Drosophila melanogaster: one gene and its partners. Changing the gene in region 2 together with the main gene of any one other region gives a genetic interaction. Each region holds a gene or a part of one and is shown on either strand. Other genes may lie near its edges.

The links.
Region 1: of eyg (region 2) and fng, changing one suppresses a phenotype caused by changing the other (phenotypic suppression), as found in Drosophila melanogaster (one study listed by BioGRID).
Region 3: of eyg (region 2) and Su(H), changing one suppresses a phenotype caused by changing the other (phenotypic suppression), as found in Drosophila melanogaster (one study listed by BioGRID).

Annotation. Positions count from the first base shown.
Region 1 is NT_037436.4:20,946,007-20,952,044, forward strand, and holds the start of fng (fringe), read right to left. Parts: upstream 3,507-6,038; 5' UTR 3,296-3,506; coding exon 3,164-3,295; intron 1-3,163. UniProt on the Drosophila melanogaster protein: Glycosyltransferase involved in the elongation of O-linked ligands to activate Notch signaling. Possesses fucose-specific beta-1,3-N-acetylglucosaminyltransferase activity; extends the O-linked fucose on the Notch EGF repeats.
Region 2 is NT_037436.4:12,461,598-12,470,917, forward strand, and holds eyg (eyegone), read right to left. Parts: upstream 6,425-9,320; 5' UTR 6,022-6,424; coding exon 5,889-6,021; intron 4,568-5,888; coding exon 4,247-4,567; intron 3,567-4,246; coding exon 3,426-3,566; intron 3,301-3,425; coding exon 2,717-3,300; intron 2,506-2,716; coding exon 1,672-2,505; 3' UTR 940-1,671; downstream 1-939. Other genes in the region: CG32102 (uncharacterized protein), read right to left, coding at 7,560-7,826.
Region 3 is NT_033779.5:15,036,708-15,044,251, reverse strand, and holds Su(H) (suppressor of hairless), read right to left. Parts: upstream 4,765-7,544; 5' UTR 4,316-4,764; coding exon 3,932-4,315; intron 3,158-3,931; coding exon 2,277-3,157; intron 2,219-2,276; coding exon 2,011-2,218; intron 1,946-2,010; coding exon 1,634-1,945; 3' UTR 918-1,633; downstream 1-917. Other genes in the region: CIAPIN1 (cytokine induced apoptosis inhibitor 1), read left to right, coding at 5,477-5,612, 5,702-6,198, 6,267-6,380; yellow-c, read right to left, coding at 6,524-7,201, 7,261-7,544. UniProt on the Drosophila melanogaster protein: Transcriptional regulator that plays a central role in Notch signaling, a signaling pathway involved in cell-cell communication that regulates a broad spectrum of cell-fate determinations.

The DNA of each region.
Region 1 (6,038 bases), 8.5 Mb from region 2:
TAATATGAAAGGGCGCCAAATGGAATCTACCCCTCTCAGGCGACCTTTGGGAAGATTAATTGAGTTAAACTCTGGTCGCCATAACGGAAAGCATAAATCAGCGAAATCGAACAAATCAAAGGCATTCCCGAAAAAATGCAATCAGAACCGTTCGTTCGCCTCCAGCTGGGCGAGCGGGAAAATCTTCATTAAATGCTGTTTAACAATATTATCCGTAAGATACGAATCTAAGATAAGATACACACAACAACAACAACAACAACAACAGCAGCAGCTCAGCAGCCAGGCATCCGAGCATCCAGGCTCAATTAAGCGACCACCAAAAGATACCCAGATACCCAGATATGGGTATCTTTTACTCGGTTGCCCAGCTGCAGATACTACTCCTTTTATCAGGCGCCTTCCGCGGCTTAATGTCGTCAACTTTTTCGGGCTGATTACGTGAGCGGCGGGCAGAAGGAGGGCTTTGTGGATCGAGGGGCCACGGAAAGGTAGCTGCAACCAGCTGCATTAAGTTGGCCATGGGAAGTGAAGAGCAAGCACCTGCTTTTGGCCTGGCCAAAAACAGGAATCACATCATCATCATCATCATCATCGTGGTCTTTGTCTCTCGGGCTGCCTCGAAGGCTTCTTGTGGCTGTTGCTTTCCTCAAGCTGATTTGCATGCTCCTCAGCTTAGGAGTTTGTTAATGTTATTATGTATTTACCATGCACTCGTCAAAAATATTTGAAAGTCCATACTGGAAAATAAATTCGGATATCTTAGAAGAAGAATTAGATGTCATTACAGAAAAAATCTATATTGTGCACGTTCATAAATGCACGTAAGTAATCTACTATCCATATCGATGTGTCATCGGTAAGCTGATCACAGTGTAGCCACAACAAACTACTCAAATCAATCAGCGACTGGTGGCCATTTGGCGCGCCACTTTAAAGAAATTCATAAACAAGCAAATCGTTTGACGATTATTATTCATTTCGTTTCATTTATGATTTATGCGTCAGCAACACGCGACATGCCAACCTGGCGACCTGGCGACGTGAGCTGCAACTGGACATGAGACATCAGATACTGGGAATCTTGGATAGGCAGGGTTGTGGGGCTGATGGAGACCCCCATGACAATACCCCCGCCCCGCCCCCGCCCGATTTCGAAATTATTGCTTTATCAGGCGAATGCCAAGCCCAGTTTAGCGCGAGTATGTGTCCAGTCGACTGTTTAGCTGTTCAACAGTTCGAAGAATCGAGCCAAGCCAAGTCATGTCAAGTCAACAAGCAGCACTTTTTGCGCAACATTTAGGAACAAAAAGAGAACACTCATATACGAAGTACGAAAAGAATTAAGCAAATTGTACGCGGCATGCAGTTTTTAAACTGGGACAAGTCACAGACCTCCGATGGAACAGAACTTCAATTGAAAAGACAAACAACAGTACAGCAGTTGTCGACAGTTTTTTATCCGGCTCAGTATTTAGTAGTGCGATGTGTGTGTAGCACTAATTCCTGCCAAGTTTCCGGTTAGCCCCAGAACACAAAAATAAAAAAAAGAGTAGAGCAACTGGAAGAGCCACAACGTCAACAGCATTGTCCGAATTAAAACAACATAAAGTTTTTAATTACACTAGCAGCAGCATGCGAAAACATTACAGGGGAGCCTCCACAAACTCGCCTCGAAGCCTCGAAGTTGGGCAATTGAGTTGCAAATTGAGAAGCCGGAAGGTGGTGAAGGGCAAGGGGATTACATGGATATTTTTGAGGATGCTGCAGCTGATTCAATTATGAGCTCTTAACTCTATTGCCAGCGGCTCGAATCACTAATATTATGAAATTTGTAAGCCTTAGTTAGGGAGCTGTAACAGTTGAAGGTATAACTACAGCAGTAGGGTTCATTTAACAAAAATCGAACTATATAAAGAAATGTTGGAAGAAAACTTTGAGGAATCTGTATATGCAACTGATTAAAAATATGTGCACTATTTTCTTATGGCGTCGTTTCATTTAAAGTTTTTAAAATATGATAATCCTAGAAGGTGGACACATAGTTCGAATTTCAAGGGTTCTAAAAATAGCCTGTTCGCATAAAACCCTGCCAAAAAGTGTTTGCAATGCAATAGGAGGCTAACTAAGGCCATTCCCACGGACCTCAACTATTTGTTATCTGTGATGCAACTGACAAGGTTTTCCACTGGACGAGTCCATTGAGATTCACCTCCATGAGATCCCCCCTCGCAGCGCACACCTTGGTAATATTAGCACACAATATTTTATTACACAAAAATTTATGCAAAAATCAAGAGTAAGAAGAGAACAATAATAAATGGGCAGAGCAGACAGGGCTCAGAACCCTGACAGGCCCTGGAATCAGGCAACTGAAAGCTTTGGCGACGCTCTGCCGACGGCAAACCAAGAAATTCAGGAACGGTTGACTGGATCTTCGGTAATCGAAACTGGGAATACTCTTGTGGGAATTGGAAAGTATTGGTGATTTTCAAAAATATATTCCAAGTGCCTAATGGTATGATTTTAGGATTTTAATAATGTCTCGATAATGCGAGCCGATCTTTGAACATCAACTTTAACAGAATTACATTCTCTTGTCCTTAAATCAATCAAATATAAGCTTAATTGTAAAAAAAAAAAACAAATAAATTCAGGATCATATTTCCATTTTTGAAACAAACCACTAAGCTAGGCACTACCTCTACATAAACTTCTGCACAATTTCTAAAGCAATCAAGTCCTTAGTTCCAAATGAATTCCCCGTGATACCGATCCCCATCCAATCACCAATCGTAGGGTATATCCTTTTAAAACGCTTCCTCGCCGAAATTTGTGTTCAATTATGATACCCCCTATTAGGGTATAAAAGCGCAAAAAGCCAAGCACCGAAACTGTTTTATATGCAAGGCAAGGGCGTAAAAGGTTTTTTTAACGGCCAAAGCCGCAGCTGCAAAACTCAAGTCGCCGGCGTTGATTTATGAAAGTGCACGAGTCGACGTCGATCGGGATCGGAATCAAAGGGGGATAATGCAAATTGCCTGGCCTTTGCAGCTTTGCAACTTATGCAGATCAGTGCGGAGCACACACGTTTGACAGTTTCGCAGCGCTAACAACACCCACGCAAGCTGGATTATGTCGCCCACTCGAACTCGCAACTCACTTGGATGCCCGGATATCCGTAGGCGCTCTGGTAGAGCAGTAGGGTCATATAGACGACGGCGACGGCTAACATCATGGCTTGCAGGATTCGCTTAAAACGTTGCGGTGGCGAGAGCACAGTCAGGCTCATCATACGGTTACGGACCACTACGCGCACATTGAAGCACCGCCGATTTGATCACTGGGTAGGTTTTATATTCCAATATTAGCTGGTTCTTTTCCTGGATCGTATGAATTCTGCTCGATTTCTGAAATTACGATATCTTTTAAGTTTATTTCGATTTCGATATCGCAGCACGCGCGCACTGACGTCTTGCTTGTGGCAAGCTTGAAAAGCAACTGATTGTGGTAGCGCGATCTACTCTTCTCTTCTTCCAGCGAAAATCGTAAACAAAACAAAAACCAGAAAGACCAGTAAGCGGTGAGAGTAGCGAGAGAGAAAGAGAGAGAGAGAATTCCCTTTGAGCTGGTCCAATTGGAAACGTTAGCTGCTCCAATGGGAGCAGCTGGCGCTCTCTCTTCGATCGCGCTCGCTCTCATCCTCTCTCTTTAGCTTGTGCCACAGTAGCTGCCGAAGGCAATTTTCATGTGCTCGTGTGTCGACCCCCACTCAGCCCACTTCTGATCGGAATCGGGGATTCGGAATCGTGTAAGGCAGCCTTTGAAGGTCCCTTTTCCAGGTGGCGGCCGTATCCTTAAAGTAAACATAGTTCAACTGACTTGGCAGCGCTCCAAATGCGGTGACTTCTTGGCTATGTCATATATACCCCCACTCCCCTCCTGACTACCCTGCCACGCCCCACCGCCCACCGTCGGCGACGACAATTCCATTAAAAGTTGTACGTTGTCACTTTGCGTTAACTTATCTGTGGAGCATGTTGTGCGATCGCATTTTTATTGTCGCCATTGTCTCTCGCTCTCTCCATCGCTCTTTCGCCTGGCTTCCCTACCCTGCCCACACAGGGAAGCCTACACACTCTTAAATCATGCACTTGGAACAAAAAGTGCAAGCATTAAACTTTATTTAAACATTCAAGAGCCGCTCCTCTATTTACCATTGAAATTTTATTTCAAATAGAGAGGTCTTTTCAGATTATATTATACCTTTAAGTGGCTTAGAAATAGTTAGACAGTGTATTTATGGATAAGTAATTAATTTAACTAAAAAATACAAACAGAAGAATTCTTTTACAATAATTTCAAACTACTAATTTCTACATCCCTTTCTCGCTCCGTGCATCAAATGCATCCACATCTCACGTGCGTCGGCAGCGTTCTGCGACGTTTCTTTGTCGCTCGGTTTTTGTGTAGCACTTGGCCTGCTCCCCACTTGACAATGCTTTGCATGCCAGGCACCATCCAGCAGTATCTTCCCGTTCCTCCTCCTCTTGCTGCTCTCAGCCCATTCAGCTCGATCCCATTCCATCCCAATCCGAATCCCATCCTACTCCTCACCAGCTTGTCATATTCCATGTTTGTGGCGGCGACAAAAGCTTTTGCGGACACCTCTGCCCGCGTCGACTGCGCTGCCCGCACAATCAGCAACTCGGCATCTTGTTCGCTGTCCCTTTGTGCGCCTTTCGCCTGAATTGCATTAAGCAGAGTCGGCGGAGCACTGCAAGAAAATAGTGAATTCGTATTTAATTCGGTAAGAGAACAGCATAAAAATGTAAACTTTTATCGCCTTGTGTCAGCTGAAAAATCTATCCAACCCTTAATAGTTTAATGTTTTAGATTATTTAAGACTGAGCCCTTTAAATACAAAAGCTTAGCATAAATTTAGAACCATCGACAATTACCCAGGGGCTTTAAAACTGTTTAACTTAAGTGGCCATTGTGTGTACCCAAATGAGCAAGCAAAATCAATTGGCCTTCACAGTGTTTTAATTATTTTTATTAGTTTATTATTATGTCAGTATGATTTTTCTACCGGTGCAGAGACGGTGGTAGCGGCGACGCAGGCCATTCCAACCTTGTTCTGCCACAGAAAAAGACATCGCTCGGCTGGAATCAGCCGCCCGCTTGCCACGAAACCCTCGGAACCCACTTCCCATTCCTCCGTATTCCGCCCACTCCCATTGCTCATTTTTAATGTGCAATTCCGTATGTACAGTTCGTAGCCATGGCCACCATTCCGCTCCGTATAAGTGTGTGTGTGTGTGTGTGTTTGCATAGCAGCTTGGTTGCCGGTTAGGCATGTGCCACCTCCAGCTGCAAGCTGCCTGTTCCAAGTTCCGATCCCCAGCCTCCAACTTCGGCTGCAACTTCAACTGCATCTTCAACTGCAACTTCAGCTGAAAAGCCCAGATCACAACCTAGCCTTATAACCAAACGAGTGCAGCTCCGTTTATCGGGCGGCCTAACCTTGTTAGGATTGTAAAATGTAAACCGAAGGCGTTGCCACGGACTCAGTGCTCAACTCGGACTTACACATCCCAAACCATTTTAAGATCTCCATAAAAATTAAAAAATAATTGTTCAATAACACTTTTGAAAATACCATACAACTTCGCATGCAGCTTGCAGCACAACAAAAATGTTTTCTGAAATGGTTTCACCTTTAAAAATAATTTGAAATCACTTTTTTTCAGTGTAGCCTAGCTCTAGCTTCTCAACTGATCGGCTGGGCATCCAGATAAAATTTCGCTCGGCTGGCACACGCTCAAGTTGCCTCCATCCGCGTCCTCGTCTTGGTCCTCAACCACGGTCATCGTTAATCGAAAACGGGCTGCGCCGTCGCCCTGCGGTTACGAGTGTCGCCAGGCCAAAGCGAGCCGCAGATGGAGCGGAGGATGCGAATGGTGATGGGGATGGAGCAGGGTAGGAACGAGAGTGCTTTCAGGGCATCAACGAAGGGGCCTTTAAGCCTGGCCAAC
Region 2 (9,320 bases):
TAGAATAAGTCGATTGGTGGTATGGCGATGGAGATGGGGCTGGGCCATTTGCTCATAAAAGCCCAAGCAAATTGAATTTGTGGACACCCGATGACCATTCCCGAGCCCAAAATTCTCAAATCCCCCAATACCCCCTAGTCCACAACTTCCAATCCCGATCCCGATTCCGTTCGGAGCTGTAAGTATCGACACGAATGGTGCTCCACGCTCTTTCGCTTATCAGATGCGAGGAGCTCATTTAAATCTCGGCCAGGCCAGAAATAAAGACGCGCATCCACCCGGTTAACCAACCTACAAAAGTCAACGATCCAAACCGATCCCATTCCAACCGATCGGATCGGATCCAATCCAAGCCTGCAAGCTCGCCTTTTGTTAACACCATAATTTACATTGATTTATGTGCTTAGTTGGTTCGGCATTTTTAATCGGTCCCCATACGATACCATATGATACCAAACCATACCATCCATTCTCATCTCCTCGTCGCGTTTAGTCTGTCCCCACTGTGTTTGTGCGCGCGGCTTCATTTGGTTATAATTAAAATGTCGATGTTATCAGCCAGATTTGGACATATTGGCCATTACGTTCGAAATTTAAGCGTTTTCTATGCGCGTATTTTGGATTTGGATTTTTTTTTTTTTTTTTTTTTTTTTTGATTTCGATTTCGTTTGGCTTTTTGTTCTGTCTTCGTTCGGTGTATTAATATTTAATAACGTTTTAAGAAGCTTTCGAGTGTTGTTAAATGCTTATTTATGCTTTTCGGCCGTGTTTGGTGTGTTTGTTTGTTGCCCAGTGTGTTTGAATGGATAATTATGCGTGAAATCGAACGTATAAATTGTATTTGTTGTCAAACCAAAGCGAGTCTATACAAACCGATTTCCTGGTCATATATTTCTGTTTGTTTATTGCCGAAAGAAAGTAAACGATTCTTCATTATTTCTTGCACTTTTTATTGGTTTCTCACTCAGCGGTTGACCATTTTAGTTTTTTTCTTTTATTTGAGCCAAAAACACTTAGTCTACGCACTAAATATCAGTTCAAACGCAACCAACTCAAGAATCAAATCCTTAAACAATACGCATTCATAAATAGATTTGGCTTAGGACTATTTTAAAGTTTAAAGTTACATATAGTTAGATATTGCATATGCTATAGCCTTAAATGGTGATGAGGTAAGTCGGCAGCCGGCGAATGAACAAGTATTATAGTATAATTATGCATAACTATAGGGTATACAATGGGCATGTGCATTTCAAGTGGGACAAGCGTGTTCGTATCGGGTATTAGTTACAATTTCAGCTAATCTTAAGCCGCCCATTATGTTGTTGCTGCTGCTTTCTGCTACATTTTTCTGTTTACTTTTTTCTATTTTTATTTAGTTTTTTTTTTCTTTTTTCTAGCGACCCCGAACCGCAGCCAAGTAGGTGAGCAGCATTTTAACTTTGGTTTTTCGATTTGTTTGCCCACTGTGTGTGTAGTCGCTTCTCGTATTTCAGTCCACCAGTTGCAATTTCAAATGCAATTGCAATTGCATCAGTAGTTGCTGTTGCTTTTGCTGCTTTTGTTTTTGTTGCCACTGTCAATCACAGAGGCGCGCACAACTCAGGTTTTCAATTAGACTTTGCCGCCGCCCATCTAGACCAGGTGGCCCTTGTCGCCCATGTCGCCCATCTAGCGGTCATGCTTTAGGAATTGCAACGTGGCCGGCGCATCGGAGGATGACAGGCGAGCCACCTTTGCCGCCGTTGCCGCCGACGACTCAATTTCACCATCGGAATCGTCGTGCACGTTGATCTCCTCATCCGAGTCCGATGACGAGTTGTCCACCGTCATGGTTGAGCCGCCAGATTGAGTGGTGTTGGTATTGGGTCCCGTGCCCTCACCACCGCTCCCCAAACCACCTGCGGAGTAGTGCAATCTGGAGCGCTGCTCCTCGGCGACCGTTAATGATGCAGCCACGGCATATTGCCTGGCCAATCCCAGGAAGGCAGCCGCCGAGGGCGAGCTCACCAGACTCCTGAAGGCACTACGCTCCCCGCCCATGGAGAGGTGATTCGCCGCCGGATTGCATCCACTGGGTGAGAGTTGCTGTTGTTGTTGATGATGTTGCTGCTGCTGCTGCTGATGCTGCTGCTGTTGTTGCTGTTGCTGCTGCTGGTGGTAGTGGCTGAGCAGCTGGAGGGCAGCTGGATGCGTGGGTAGGTGCAGAGGATGATGGTGATGGTGGCCGCCCGGAGGACCATGCAGTGGGTGTAACAGCACCGAAGGTGGCGGACCCTGTGGCGAGTGGTCACCGCACAGGGGCAACGGCTGCTGAGGTGGCGGCACGGGAGCCACTGGAGCGGAGGTGGAGGCACTGCTGTGGTTACTGGGCGTGGGCGAACTGGCCGGTGCATCGTTCGACTGCTGCGAGTGCAGCGGATTGGCGGGACTGGAGCGCTGACGCTTCAGGAGATTCATGCGTTGGTGGCGACGCCATTTAGCCCGGCGATTGGAGAACCACACCTGGAAAGGGTAGAAATAAATGATATTTAATAAAGATTAGTTATTTGAGGTTTTGGTTAATTGGCTTTGAAAGAGGTAACTCTAATTTCTGATATAAAAGTATTGATTTACTCATTAATTTAAATCAAATGGTATGTAACTACTTTACTAGCCACTTTTAATCTTGCTTTTTGAAAGTTTTGAGTGAAGCCTTTGTTTTCACCTGACTCACCTGAACTCTTGCCTCGCTCAAGCTGGTGCGACTGGACAACCGCTCCCTGGTGCTCACACAAGGATAATGACTCTTGTCGAACTCCTTCTCCAGCTCCTCCAACTGCTCCGGACTGAAGGTGGTCCGATTCCGCCTGAACTTGGGCTCATCATCGTCATCCAGATAATCGGAGTCTATGTGCCGGTTCTCATCCGCTGATTCCAAGGTATCATGGCTGCCAGAGCCAGGGGAGATGGCCCGATTGGTTGGTGTGCCACCTGCTCCGCCGGCCATCAAGTGCGCCGAACTGAGGGAGCCACAAGTGGAGACGGGCACAGCGCTCGCTGCACTCGGAGGCAGATTGGCGAGCGTGGGAGCGGCAACGGACCACAGGGCGGATGGAGGTGGCGGTGGTGGTACCCCCTGGCCGCCGGGCACATTGCCGGCCGGATGCCAGGTGAAGCTACCGTACGGATGAGGGGGTGGCGGGTACAGGCCATAGGCGGCGGTGCGAGCAAACTCGGTGGCCACCCGCTCGGCGGCTCGATTGCGCAGGATGCGATTGATGCTGCTCACCGATGGAGCGGTGGCATTAGTGCAGACACCTGCAAGGCGGGATTACGCAATTACCGAGCAGTCGAAGATCGAGATCAAAAGCTAAAAGCGACCGCCGATCAATCAGCGTTCAATCTGCGTCCGCGGATTAGCTGCAATTATGTGGAACACTCACCCTCCGAAATCAGGCGTTCTCGTATCTCCCAGGCGAAGATCGTTGGATTCTCGCGCTTGTACTGTTCGATCTTGGAGACGACCGTCGGCGTGGCCACCTTGGGCTTTGAGCCACCAATTAAGCCCGGTGGTCGCAGCGAGCCTGCAAGAATCAGAGCACAATTCCAGTTAAATTATGAGACAATGGATTTATGACTTTGCCAGCCTGGTTTTGGCAATCCATCTGTTTTTGGCTGGCAGCAAGGATTAACCCTGGTTGCTAATATCTTTATCTGCTCGTTTCATCAACATGTGATGTATGGAAAATATGAATGGGAAAACAATACAAGCCTTGGCAAATACACTGGTAGAAACCAGAGCAGCTCAAGAATTGGAAAACTTAAAAATGAGTGATTTTAACTACTTAAAGTTACTGTAATGACGGGTTTAAAAGACTTAAAAAATTCTAAACATGGAATAAATGTGATCACATATCCTTATTTGGAATTAAGCATTTTTTTCTTTCAGTGCACGGCAGCACGCACCAACCAACACTACCACCAAGGAATACCCGCTCGTGAATAAGCCGCATTTTGATTAATGAGCCAGCCGCGTTTTGGCCACCGCCAGTCAGGAGTTTATGCAATTTTAAGTGGCCAAATTACACGGCTGCGCACACGAGGGATACGCCACGCAGGGGATGGTAGGGGCAACTCGCAGGATAATAACATGTTTATCATAAAAATTAGCAAACAAATCGAAAACAAAGTACCCATTAGTTATCTGATGAGGGAAGGAACTGAGAAACTGAGCGGTCGTCCCTTTCAAGGGCTCACAACTCACCTAGCAACTTGGAGACAGCTCCCTGCTGGGTTAGCATGTGCTGGGCAATGTCATAGCCACGCAGTCCACCGAAACGTGAGAATTCCAGGAGGCGATGCTGTGACATCAGGGTGTTCAATGTGCTCCCCGTGGGTCCACCTGCACCGTGCGGAATGCCGCCAGTGGAGCCGCCGCCGCCAAAGCCGGGTGGTATTTGCACAGATGTGGGTGATGTGGATGTGGCCCCTCCGCCACCGGCTACCGCTCCCGATCCCGCTCCGGCCGCCGCTGCTGCCGCTGCCGCTGCTGCTGCTGCTGCTGCTGCCACGGATGCCGCCGCTACTGCAATTGAATGATAATTGGGTATTGTTATTTTATTGTGGCTTTAGCTGTCGCGGCCACAATGGTTAATTATGATAAATTAAGCGTTAATTGTGTTGACCGAACCGAAATGACTGATGGGTCCTACGAATATATTAGCGTTTCTATTACCCCAGCAAATGTCTAAGCTGATCGAATGGCCAAAATGGTGGCGACACGCAATCGAATCTTCCAGGCACGAGCAGATTTATCAAGCTAATTGATACGACAATGATCTCTTAGTACAAAAGGCGAAAATTAAAATATGTACTCAGCTGGATACGAAAAGAAAGCAAAAAACAAGTAGAAAAACAACTGTGTATTACGTTAATTCGACAGAATATTATATTTGCCTTCGCTTAAAAAACCTACATATATCATTCGGCTTGGGCAACTCGTCGCTCAAATTGTCAATTAGCGTTTTAAATGCGCGTTTCACTTTTGTTGTTTGTCAAGTAAATATTTTTAAAAAAATACGCGCACCTCCAGTCGTGCCTAACTGAATATACATATATGTAAGTATATGGGCCCATAATCAATTGTGCCGCCCATCAAATGAGAACCAGTTTTGTTTATTTCGGTCTATTTAAAGGTGAAAAGCAAGGAAATGGGACTGTCAAATGAGCCACGCAATTGGTAATGTGACATGCGTAACGATTTGTGTTTGTTTTAACTGAAGATTTAAGTTGGAATAACATAAAACATTTGTTATGAACATACTAAGTACGAACATGACAAATTTTAATCGCTTTCTTATAAATGGCCCACATTGTTTAAACTAGAAATATTATAAAGGATCACACTTATTTTATCTTCTGTTTAAGAAAATAAAAAGGCACTCAAAGTTAGTTTTACATAGACCTTTGTATGATCAATTTGATAATTTACATAATTTATCTACCATATACCATTTAAATAAAAAATTGTTTGTTTTACAGCGAAAAGTTAACACCAACTATATTCAAACTAAATGGATCTGGTTAAGAATTACACATAAACACATTTGACCCAGTTTGATACTTTATTTAATACTTTAACCGAAACACCGTTTTAACACACTAATTTAAACGATGCTTAGTTATTAGTTATACATAATTTCAATAATAGATTTTAGGTTTTATCGCGAAAGAACTAATTTGTTTAAATTAAAATTCGAACATTCCGGATTTGCTATCGAATGACATATTACACCTTTGACCCAGTTTCGGATTTATTTTTTGAAGATTTGTGTATATTTTCTTAAAATCCCCAAGCCTGGCTTTGCCGTCGGCAAGACTTCACATGGGCACTTTGGGGCACTTACCACTGGAAGCGTGAGGGGCCAGCGATGTGATGCGTTGGGGATGGGGCTCCATTTTCCAGTGCGCGGCCGAGAGGCCAGAATTAGCGACAGTAAGCGAGCCAAGGTCACGGTTTAAAGTCGGCTCAATCAACATGTCTAAGAATCGCTCTTTCCAATTCTCTTTATTATTTATTGTTATTTTATATTTGTTTATTTTATTAATTTTATTTGGGTATAACACAATCACAGTCACAAGTGTCGCACATCCAAGGCAGAGGTATCGATTATAGCGAATGCAACCGGAAACGGAAATGGAAACGCAATGCGGTCAATTGGATTCATAGCGTGCTGCTCACTCACACACTCGCATACACACGCACACAGATACACACACAGTGACAAATGCACGACAGTCGATCCCGACAGAAACAGTTAGAAAACGCTCCTGCGTATCTCTTGCTCTTATTTTTATTATAGAATTTGTTTTTATCGAATTTCTTGCGAACACTGCGCTCCGTTGAAACGTTGTTCACGCGAAAGCTGCTCTCAGCACAATGAGCGCTTGAATTTCACCTGGTCACCCGGGTCACTCCGCTCCACTCGAACAGTTTCACTCCGCTTTTGAGTGCTTTTCGAAACGCCAACCGGTTTACGAGTACCGTACTTTCATAATGGCGCCCGTTGAGGCAAACTCTTGCTCTCTCGCTCTTCTGCGCGAGAGCGGGACAACCACATGCACACTATGCGCGCACACAAATCAAACAATTATAAACTCGTTGTTGGTAAAGTGCTGAGTATAAACAGTGGCAAGAAGAAGAAGAAGAAGCAGACGAATGAAGAGCAGTGAGTGTGAGAGAGAGCGAACGCTTTGGGGAAGTGACAAGAAGAAGAACCAGAATAAGAAGAGAAAGAGGAGTTGGGGAACCCTTTAATTTTAACTACAAATGTAGTTGGGATACCATAGCACGTTTGAAGTCAACCTTTAGGTGCATTTCTCGCCTAATGTAATATTCTAATTGATTGAATTAACCGTACAGCTTAAATTGTACCATTTAGGAACATTTAGTTCGTAATCTTTACTGTTGAGTAATGCATTCAATTTATCGTTACTTTAAGCCAGAGACCATGGCCCCAATAAGTAGGCACTTTCAAATACCAACTCTTGATTATCATATCGATCTGTGTACAAATGAGCTACATTTACAAAAGTTCATGCATATGTATAATCTCTAACAATTAAGGCTAAAGACTGAAAAGAAGTTTGGCTTTTTGCTTACACTTCTAAAATAAATAATAATAATAAAATATTTTATTTCGAAATTATTAAAATAGCTGTAATATTGTATCAATAAAATGGCAGTATGGTATGTTTGTTTTACTTTTTATTTGATTCTACTCAGGAGAAAGACAAAAAAATATATATAAATAATTGGTAAATAATACCTCAGCAAAATATAAACATTAGCATTATAATAAAACAGAAAAGCATTAAATTGCTTCCTTTTTGTGGACTTCATAACTACTATTCCGCTTTTAAACTGACCAATTGCAATTAAAACTCGATTTTTAAACATAAACTTATTAAAAGAAGATTTAAGCCTGAAAGTCCTTTTTAAACAAACTAAATCGTTTATTGCATTGAAAGATAACATAAAATGATCGCTAAATAACAATAACTAAAATGCCTGCAATTTAAAAGAGCTTAGTAGCATATAGCCATTTGAAAGGAATTTTAATCCGGTCAAATGTGCAGTGAAGTGGCCAAATTGCATCCATTGCGATCCAGAGTGAACCTTGGACACGTATAAATCGCATGCGTGGCATGGGCCGTTTGCCATTCAGGTTTGCACTGCCCGTTTTGGGTCGTTGTCTCCCGGCCTTTGGTGCGTGATGGATGATTGATGTGCTGCCTGGGCAAGGCAATCCGATGTGAATCGAAACTGCAACTAAACTACACATGGCGTGATCGGGGAGCCACACAGATCACAGCTCGCAGCTCGCAACTCTCAGAACAGAACGGGGCAGAAACGGGCTACACCAAGTGGCAGAGTGGCCTGCACAGAAGCCAAATTGCATCAAAGCCCACGGATTGAGTGGCTCCCGGCGATGCAGGATTCGAATTGGAAGCTGAAAGATGAAAGCTGAAAGCTGAGAGTCGAGTTAAAAAGCAATTACCTGAAATGATTCCCCAATGGAATGAGATGGGATGAGATCAGTTGGGATGGGATGGGATCGGGTGGAAAGAGGAGCGAGTGCAGAAATCTGGATGCGAAACGATATGGTTCAGCAGAATCACCTGGCGATAATGAGATGTCTCACTAAGCTGATCAGAACTGCCTTTGTATTTATTTGTCTGTTCGAATGCAAAGTGCACAATGCACCGAACACTCGTGCATATATGTTTCTTCGATTTGTGAAAGGCGAATCATGAATGAAACGCTGCTGACGATGACGTTCGAGTGCCCTCATGCCAGAGATCCAGAGCAAACGCAAACAATCGAACAGGAATAATTTACTAAGTAAATAATATCTGGATACCGATCGCTGCACGGTAAGAAATTGCGTAAACCGGTGACCCATATTGCTCAGCAACCAAAGAAACCTTTCAGCACTGAGATATTTTTCATTCCATTGTTTTCTGGGATAATTTAAAGTAACAGAATTATCTTCTTACAACATTTTTTTGTCTTAACTTGACAGTAAGAGTTCTTAATTAAAGTCTGAAATTTTTAAAAATATTTTTTACGATTTTTTTTTACTAGTTTACTCAAGATCTATAGCAATATTTAAAGAGTTGAATCAATGGTCTCTATGGAATAGTGTTATATATGGTATATACATATTTCGTAACCATTTGATCCCAATTTTGGCCAGTGTAATCCCCGCGAGTAGCGTGCGCCCTCGCCCCATCAAGTGGCACTTCAACAATCAAGCATTCACACAAGCAGATGGTCCGCAGCCGTTGGCGACCACCTAAATGAAATTTCATTTAGTTTTTTTTCGCCCGTCATCGCCGCCGCAATCGCAACCCGCTCCTCGAGATCTCCCCATCCATCGCAGTCCATCCAATCCATCCGTCCAGCGCAGAGTTCCAGCCCCAATCCCAATCCCAATTCCAATCCCAATACGGTCTCCTATTTGCTTATGCACACATTATCAACGTACGCCCGCCTTATGGAGTGTTTGTTTACCTAATTCGATTACCGATCGCGTCCGTTCGCGCCATAGTCCACCGGCCACTTGACCATTTGGGTGGCACGGATCCGTACTCATGGGGTCCGCTCTTCGGCCAGACGTCGTGCGTAATCGCCCCACGGCAGCTGATGCAGTGCAGCGGAATTGGGAGATGGAGATGGAGATTATGTTGCTGCTGGAGCCGGGGGCCTTAATTGAAGAACCTGCCACGGGGGTACATACATACATACTTTCATCGCTTTGCAGTCGCGGAGGTAA
Region 3 (7,544 bases), on a different chromosome or scaffold from region 2:
GTAGACGGTATGAGGTTGTGTAGCAGTCCTGAGAACTTTTAGAAATTGCTGTCTCCCCCTTTCTAAAAACGACCACAATCATCGCACTCGCCTATCCAAACAGTGGTGGAGAAAGAGGGCCTGGGGAAATGTGAAGGAATTGTTCATTAAAAATTCCAAACTAATTTCATATTCAGCTTCTTATAAGACGGCGACGACCTTAAGAGGTTGCAGTTCCAATTGCCAGAGCCAGAACTTTTGGTGGTGGTTTTTCCATCATAATGAACACAGGCGGCCGCCAGTAGTTTGATTCCTCACGCAACCAAAGTTCGTTGTTTAAGTCTTTCGTTCCCATCGCCCGGTGCAGTAAAATCTTAGGGGTTGCAGCCAAGTTCCTATTGGCTGACTCTGATAAGAAATATGTCTCCCAAGTGCAAGATGAGATTAAATGCTTGGCCAGCGCTCACCTTCTGATTCCGTCGAGCGGAAGTGAGCGATAATTAATTCAAAACTGCGAATCTTAATTTGTAAATCTGTAAAGACAGCAGCAGCAACGAATGCATAAATATTCAACAAAGGCAGTAAAAATTCTCACAGCAGCTCGGCAGCGGCTTTTTGGGCTGTGAGAATATTCTGCTCCTTAACTTGGCCAAAACGGAAACAATAGTGTTATATATCTATGTATATTTGCTTCTTAGCTTCGCGTTCAGCAATTCCAGACCAAACTATAATTAAAGTCGGCCCGTCCGAGGGGGTTGAGGCAAACCATCGTGGGAAGAGCTGCACTTGTTTTGTTTAAAAATATTCACACGATACTGGGTAATATTCCCACAGCAATTTAAGGCAACCAATCCTCCCCAGCGCTCCACCTTAGGCCACAGGAAAAATGGTGAACCAGAAGAATCACGCTAAACCAAAAACATAAGCTGACATGATTTGATTATTCTTTGTCATCATTTGGGATTTCTTTTTTTTATTTATGTTAGGCATTTCGCTTACACTTAAATAAATCGCTGTTTTGTCTTGTTGCGATTTTATTTTACAAAATATTTTATTGGGATTTTTAATGCTACGAATTTCCAAAGTTAATAAAAAAATGCAACAAAACTGTATGTACAGAAACAAATTTTTCCCTTTTTGACTTTGTCTTCGACTTTTTAGAAAGCTAAAGAGGGAAATGGAATGTTTTTGTAGCGTGGCTACTGGCTTGTGTATAATAAAAATTTCCGATGCATTTCGCAGTATTTTTTTTTTTCATTTAGATCTTTGGAAATTCATAGCAAAGAAAATCATAAATATTTCAACCGCATCTAAAAATCGTCTATAAACTTACATCAATTGTATATTTAACTAGAATTACATGTTTTGTGTAAAGGTATATTCATGCACATACAAATGTATGTATGTATGTCAGTGAGCTTTTCGAGTTATGTACAGAGTTTTATGTGTCATTTACAATTCTATTGGTTCCGAACTAGCACTAGATACATGTGTAAAGTATGATTCACTTTAGAGAGAAGGGGACACATTTTGGTTTACGTCACGAGGGGTTGAAAATTAGTATGAGAAAAATTGTCAATCTACAAACTAAGGTCTTCGATAAAAACTATAAATAACTTAGGATACATATGTGTGCGATGCAATAATCCTGCACTCAGGATAAGCCGCTACCATGACTATTCCATTGCACTTCTGAGATGGAGGGCAGAGCCTGATGCTGCTGCTGTTGTTGTTGCAAGCCACCGCCGGCTGCCGGCGATCCCGCATTGTTGCTGTTATTATTGTTGCTAATGCTAGTGATGTTATTATTGTTATTGTTCTGTCGCGCTCGCATCACATCCTCGGCCTGTGTATTGCAGTGCGGCCGAGGACCTGGTTCAGGTGTATACGTGAAGGTCAGACCGGTGGCATAAATTATTCCATCGTTGCGCACCAGCGAAATGGGCACCTGCGTGGGCTGACGTACCTGCAAGGACCATTAAAAGTAAAATTTATAGCGCGTATTAAACAGATTTACATTGGAAAACCTACCCAAAGCCATTCGCCTCGAAATTGTGAAATCTCCGGCACCACGCATAGCAATGTCTCTGTGCAGCGGTACATGGTTTCCGCCTCCACATCGCCAAACCACACCTGCAGATGCGGCGTAAAGTTGTCGCCACTCAGCTCTAGCATGGCCACATCCCCGCCGCCATTGAGATTAAGGGAATTAACGATTGGCACTGGAGTGACTGGAGAACTGGAAGAAAACACGAAATGAAAACTAATCCATTGAGTTGTAAGTAAGCTATACTTACGCCACAGGACCCATGCCCTCGTAGAACTGGTACTCAGCCTTGTCGGTGGATATGATGGTCCAGCAGGCGCCGTCATTGATCATCTCCTTGTTCGGCTCCTTGGGGCACGGCGTGGCCTGGAACTGTATGATTTTCTCCTGCGACAAACAGAGATACATCCGATCCGTATCCTTCATGTAGAAGGCGCATTTGTGCAGCTGAGAAACGGGATCGTCGGCTTCCAGCAGGGCCATCTGCTTGTCTACCTTCCGGATGATCAGACGTGGCAGGGCCATGCCCGTTACGGAGCACACCAGTTTGACTGTGGCTCCGTAATGAATGTAACCATCGCGCACCTGAAACTCCTCCGACTCGGACTCATTGTCATCCAGCAGGTGTATCGTAAAAGCTCCCCATTGTGTTGACGACGCATGAAAGTGTCCGTTCTCCACGTGAAGGTAACGGGTGGAGACAGTCTGGGAACGCAGGCGATTGAACAGGGCTACATTGGTGCCGCTGGCTATGCACAGATCGGCATTCTTTAGCGACTGTTTCTTTTTGGACGGCTTGGATATAACCTTGATCCGTTTCGAGTTAAAAACGCCAATGTCATGACCGTTTCCGTAAAACATCTTCACCGACAGCATAAAGTGTTTTCGCTTGTCCGAGTCCGAGATGAAGAGCGTCTTGGCCGCACAGTACTGCTTGCCATTGAGATCCAGCTGCTGCATATCCTGGTCACTGCTCCCGATACCGATGAACGCGCATAGTTGTGCTCCCTGTTCGCCCTCGCCCTGCTGCAACATCTCCTCGTACCGCCGGCGCCAGCCACTTCCGAACAGATAAATGCACGGCGGTGGGCAAAAGAATCGCTTCTCATTGCCATAGGACTTTTGGGCCACCTGGAATTCACACAGACAGACAGACAGAGGCGCACGATGGTGCAGGGAAAATTCAATTAGTACAAATTGCCGTCCAGATTATCGGAAAATCATATCAAAACCGCAAGCAATGCAGCTTTGTTAATTTTCTGTAATTAATTTCAATTATTTTCATTGCGGACTGGACCGCGCTCGCGTTGCTCAATTTGCGGGCAGTCGAGTGTGAAGGATTCCCATTTGGCGGCAGTCGTCGCTTGAAGATCGCCACCGCTAAAAGCAACCGCGACAATTTTATTCCATTTTCATGTCTGCGTTCGCCAAAAACCGCAAAAATGTAACACTTTAAAGTGGACAATGGAAACACTAGCACCTTTAAATAGTGGGTGTGGTTTTGGCGTTGCGGACTGACCGATTAGATTAAAACTAAATTATAAAAAAAAAATAAATATCTTGTAAAGCATACAAGTAATTTTCAAAGAAAGGATACATCGTTAAACTTGAAATAGAAAGAAAATCTGAATTTAATCTATTTAATCTAAAAAATCGAATAATTTAGGAAATCGACGTACAAAACTGACCAAGTTTCTAATTTAAATGAAAGTTAGGATATCCTACGTTTCTCCAGTTTGGGTTAATATATTTTTAGTAATATTGAAATAATGTATTTCAAGCTTCAAATAATTTAATTAAGACTTAAGACTCAGGAGTTCCCTTGTATGTTTTAGAATATCTTGAATACTAAATCCAGACCAAGCACCTGATAATACCGGCTTAAAAGTGGAAATCCTTTCGTACCTTGGCGTGCAGGATAACGATGACCATGTCGTTGCGCTCGCGCATGTACTTCTCCATGGCGTCCCGCGTGAGCTTCTTCTCCTCGATGTGTGGCCGGTAAGGACCCGGCAGCAAGGACATCTGCATTTGTTGTTGATGCTGCTGTTGTTGTTGTTGTTGTTGCTGCTGCTGCTGCTGTTGGTGGTGCACTTGCAATTGTTGTTGCTGCTGCTGCGACGACGGCGGCTGCGGACCGGGCAGTCCAAAGTGCGGCATATCCTGGCTCTGTTGTTGCTGCTGCTGGTGAGGATCGAGGGGTGAGCCGTTGGGATTTACAACCGTAGTTTCGTAGGCAATGGCGGGCGGGGCGGCGGCGTTTAAATTAAATTGGCTGTAGCTCTTCATTTATGCACATGTCTCCTTGCATTGAACTTATTGGAATTTTGTTTGGATCTTTTCTATTATTTCGTTTTTGGCTATTTGGCAAATTCGTTTGGCACTTTATACACTGTTCGCTGGTGCTGTTTTTGTTGTTGTTGTTGCTGCTGTATGTTTTCTATTTTGTTATCCTGCTGCACAAACACACACGCAGAGCAGCTGTCGTTTCTCTCACGCACTCTCTTCCTCTTAACCGCGGATTGGCTTTGTTGTTGTAGCTCAAGCTGGATTTGCGGCTAGCTGCGATTCACGACTAATCACACATATTTCAGCGTTTCGAGCAGATCTTGACTAGCGACTAGCGGTAGTGGCGGCTGGCTTCTGTTTAAGGCTGCAACTAGCGCTCGAGTTATATTTATAATATGCTACAACTAAAAAAGCGACTGAGGATGTTGATGTTGTATCGATAGTCCGATAGGCGCTTATTTATGATAGTCGCTGCCTACCGGCGATATGTTTGTCGCTTCACAGCACTGTTGGTTGGATTTGGATGGCAGTGGGCATTTGGTTATTTTATAGCCAATTTGGAGTAGCTAATATATTTTGTTTTAACTTTGCAGTTTCTGAATACATTTGTATATTTATTCCCATCACATCACTGTTAAAGATATTATTTCTTATATCTATAAATACTTTTAACTGATGCGAAAGGTATCGATTTTCATTGAACACTTCGATTTTGAGCGCCCACATTTAAAATTCAAGGTACAAACTACCAACCTTCTTGTCTAACTGTCCATGCATTTTTAAAACGGGCCGTGGGAAAGTACACATGGGTGAATTTAAAAGATAATTCGCGACTTTAGGCTTAAATGTAACCGTTTAAATAGGTTTAGTGGCAGAAACACACAATATGCAACTAAAAGCTGTTAATTATGTATCAGAATGTAAGCTGTAACTCATTAAAAAACGAATCTGGTGGAGTACACTTAGTTATTCATATATTTTAGCAGTCACAGTGTAAAGTGGAAAAATCTACAATCACTGAATATCATTTGCAATCCGATAGGCAGGTACAATCGATATCACCGCTCGATTTTCGGTGCATTGCCATATCTAACTTGTGAAATCAAAAATCGGTTCCGTTCGGTGCTTGAACTTTTGAGATATTCTAGAAACACATCCACAATGGAGAACTTTAAGGGTCTACAAAAATCCCTATACATATGGACGGACAGCGCCGACTTGGACAAGCGCGTGGAGCAACTAAAGGCGGCCACTGGCGGCGATGTGGCTTTGGAAAATGTGCACCGCCTTTCGTTTTGTAAGTTGCGTGCGGTGCGGTGTGTGTGTGCTGTTTTTGACTAGCCAGTGAGTCAGCAGATTAAAATCAGTGATGTTTATGCATTACAGCTTCCTATGCCAACTCCAGTTTCGACCTGATTGTGATCGAGTGCGCCCAGCTGACCGACAGTTACGTAAAACTGCTGCACATGCTGAAACCGAGTGGCAAACTGCATTTGGTGTCCTACATCGGTCCGGCGGCTAGTTTGCTGCAGGAGATCAAGCTATCCGGATTCATAAACTGTCGCGAGGACTCTCCAGATGCTTTGACCGCCGAGAAGCCTGGCTACGAGACAGGATCCTCAGCCAGGTTGTCATTCGCAAAGAAGAACGCCAGTGCAGTCAATGTGTGGAAGATAAGCGGTGACGATGAGGAACTGATCGATGAGGAGGAGCTGCTGGACGAGGAAGACAAACAGAAGCCGGATCCGGCTGGTCTGCGTGTCTGTAGCACCACGGGCAAGCGCAAGGCGTGCAAAAACTGCTCCTGCGGGCTGGCCGAGGAATTGGAGACTGAAAAACAGAGCCAGAAGGCCACCGAGAATGCCAAGTCAAGCTGTGGAAATGTGAGTTCTCTTAACCCCGATGTGAGTTAGCATTAACCTCGATTATAACTGATTTCTTATATGCACAGTGTTATCTCGGCGACGCCTTCCGCTGCTCCACTTGCCCCTATTTGGGCATGCCCGCCTTTAAGCCCGGTGAGAAGGTGCAACTGGCCGACAACCTCCTGAAATCCGACATTTAACTTAGGCTCACCATGGTATACCCAATCAATCACATTTCAAATAGTTTATTAAGCTGACTTACTAACAAACAATAATGTCATAATGTAAATACAAAAATGCACCGCGTCATAAACACAGCATGTAGATTTAAATATCCAAGTGATCACATTTCGCATGGTGTACCCTTGATGAGATCGCGGTTCTGGCCCATCAAAATACGATAGTTGACGGCCGAGGGATCGAGTTCCTTGTACAAATATGTCGGCATCTTGTCGGACAGCACCCAAATAGTGCCTTCATTGTCGATTTTCATGTCATTTGGAAAGACCAGAGTGTGCGAATCGGAATCGATTAGCCCCTGGGTGTCCGGAGTGTATGGACGCTTGATGTTCCAACAAGCAATGGCGTCTTTGTTCACCTGCGTATAGAAGATGACGCCGGTCTCGGGGTCAAAGACCTCGGCGGTGGACTGGCCATTCATGCCACGGTCACCAACGTATTTAAAATCGTAATACGAATCGCCAGCGGTCACGTGTGATTCGTTTTGCAGCACGCGGTTCGAAACCTTGAACTCCTTGGTACTGGCCAGGGCATGGAAATAAATGTCCTTGGAGTGATCTGGATTCATTGGGCCCACGGCCAGCCCAAAAACGCCATCCGTCCACTGGAAGTTCACGCCGCCCACATTGAAATCACCATGCAGAGGATCGAAGTGGAAGAAGTTGTGCTTGACGCGGTAGGATTTGTCGTTCCTCAGGGAGTACACAATCACACCGTAGGCACCCAAATCCGGAATGTAAGCAAAGGCATCTTGGCACTCCGAGCGGTCCGCATCCACAACCTAAATATTGATTAATTCGATCAGTTTGGAATTTAAATAATACGCCTATGCATACTCACAATATTCGCAAAGAACGAGTCCTCTTTGGTCTGATCAGCGGGAATGGTGAAACGGCGCAGTAAAGTATCTGTTTTCAAGTCGAAAACCAGGATTGAATTGGGCGTAATCTGCTTGGGACTGCCCAGGATGTCGGCCAAGCCAGTATCGAGCACCCACAGGCGATCGCATACGTCGACTTGAATTCGGAAGGTGGAAATGACAGTGGAGTTGTCCTTCAGCTGGATGCCGGCATCTTGAGCCTTGTCCGCGTCCAGACGTCCACCGGATGGTGTCTTTTGGTCCT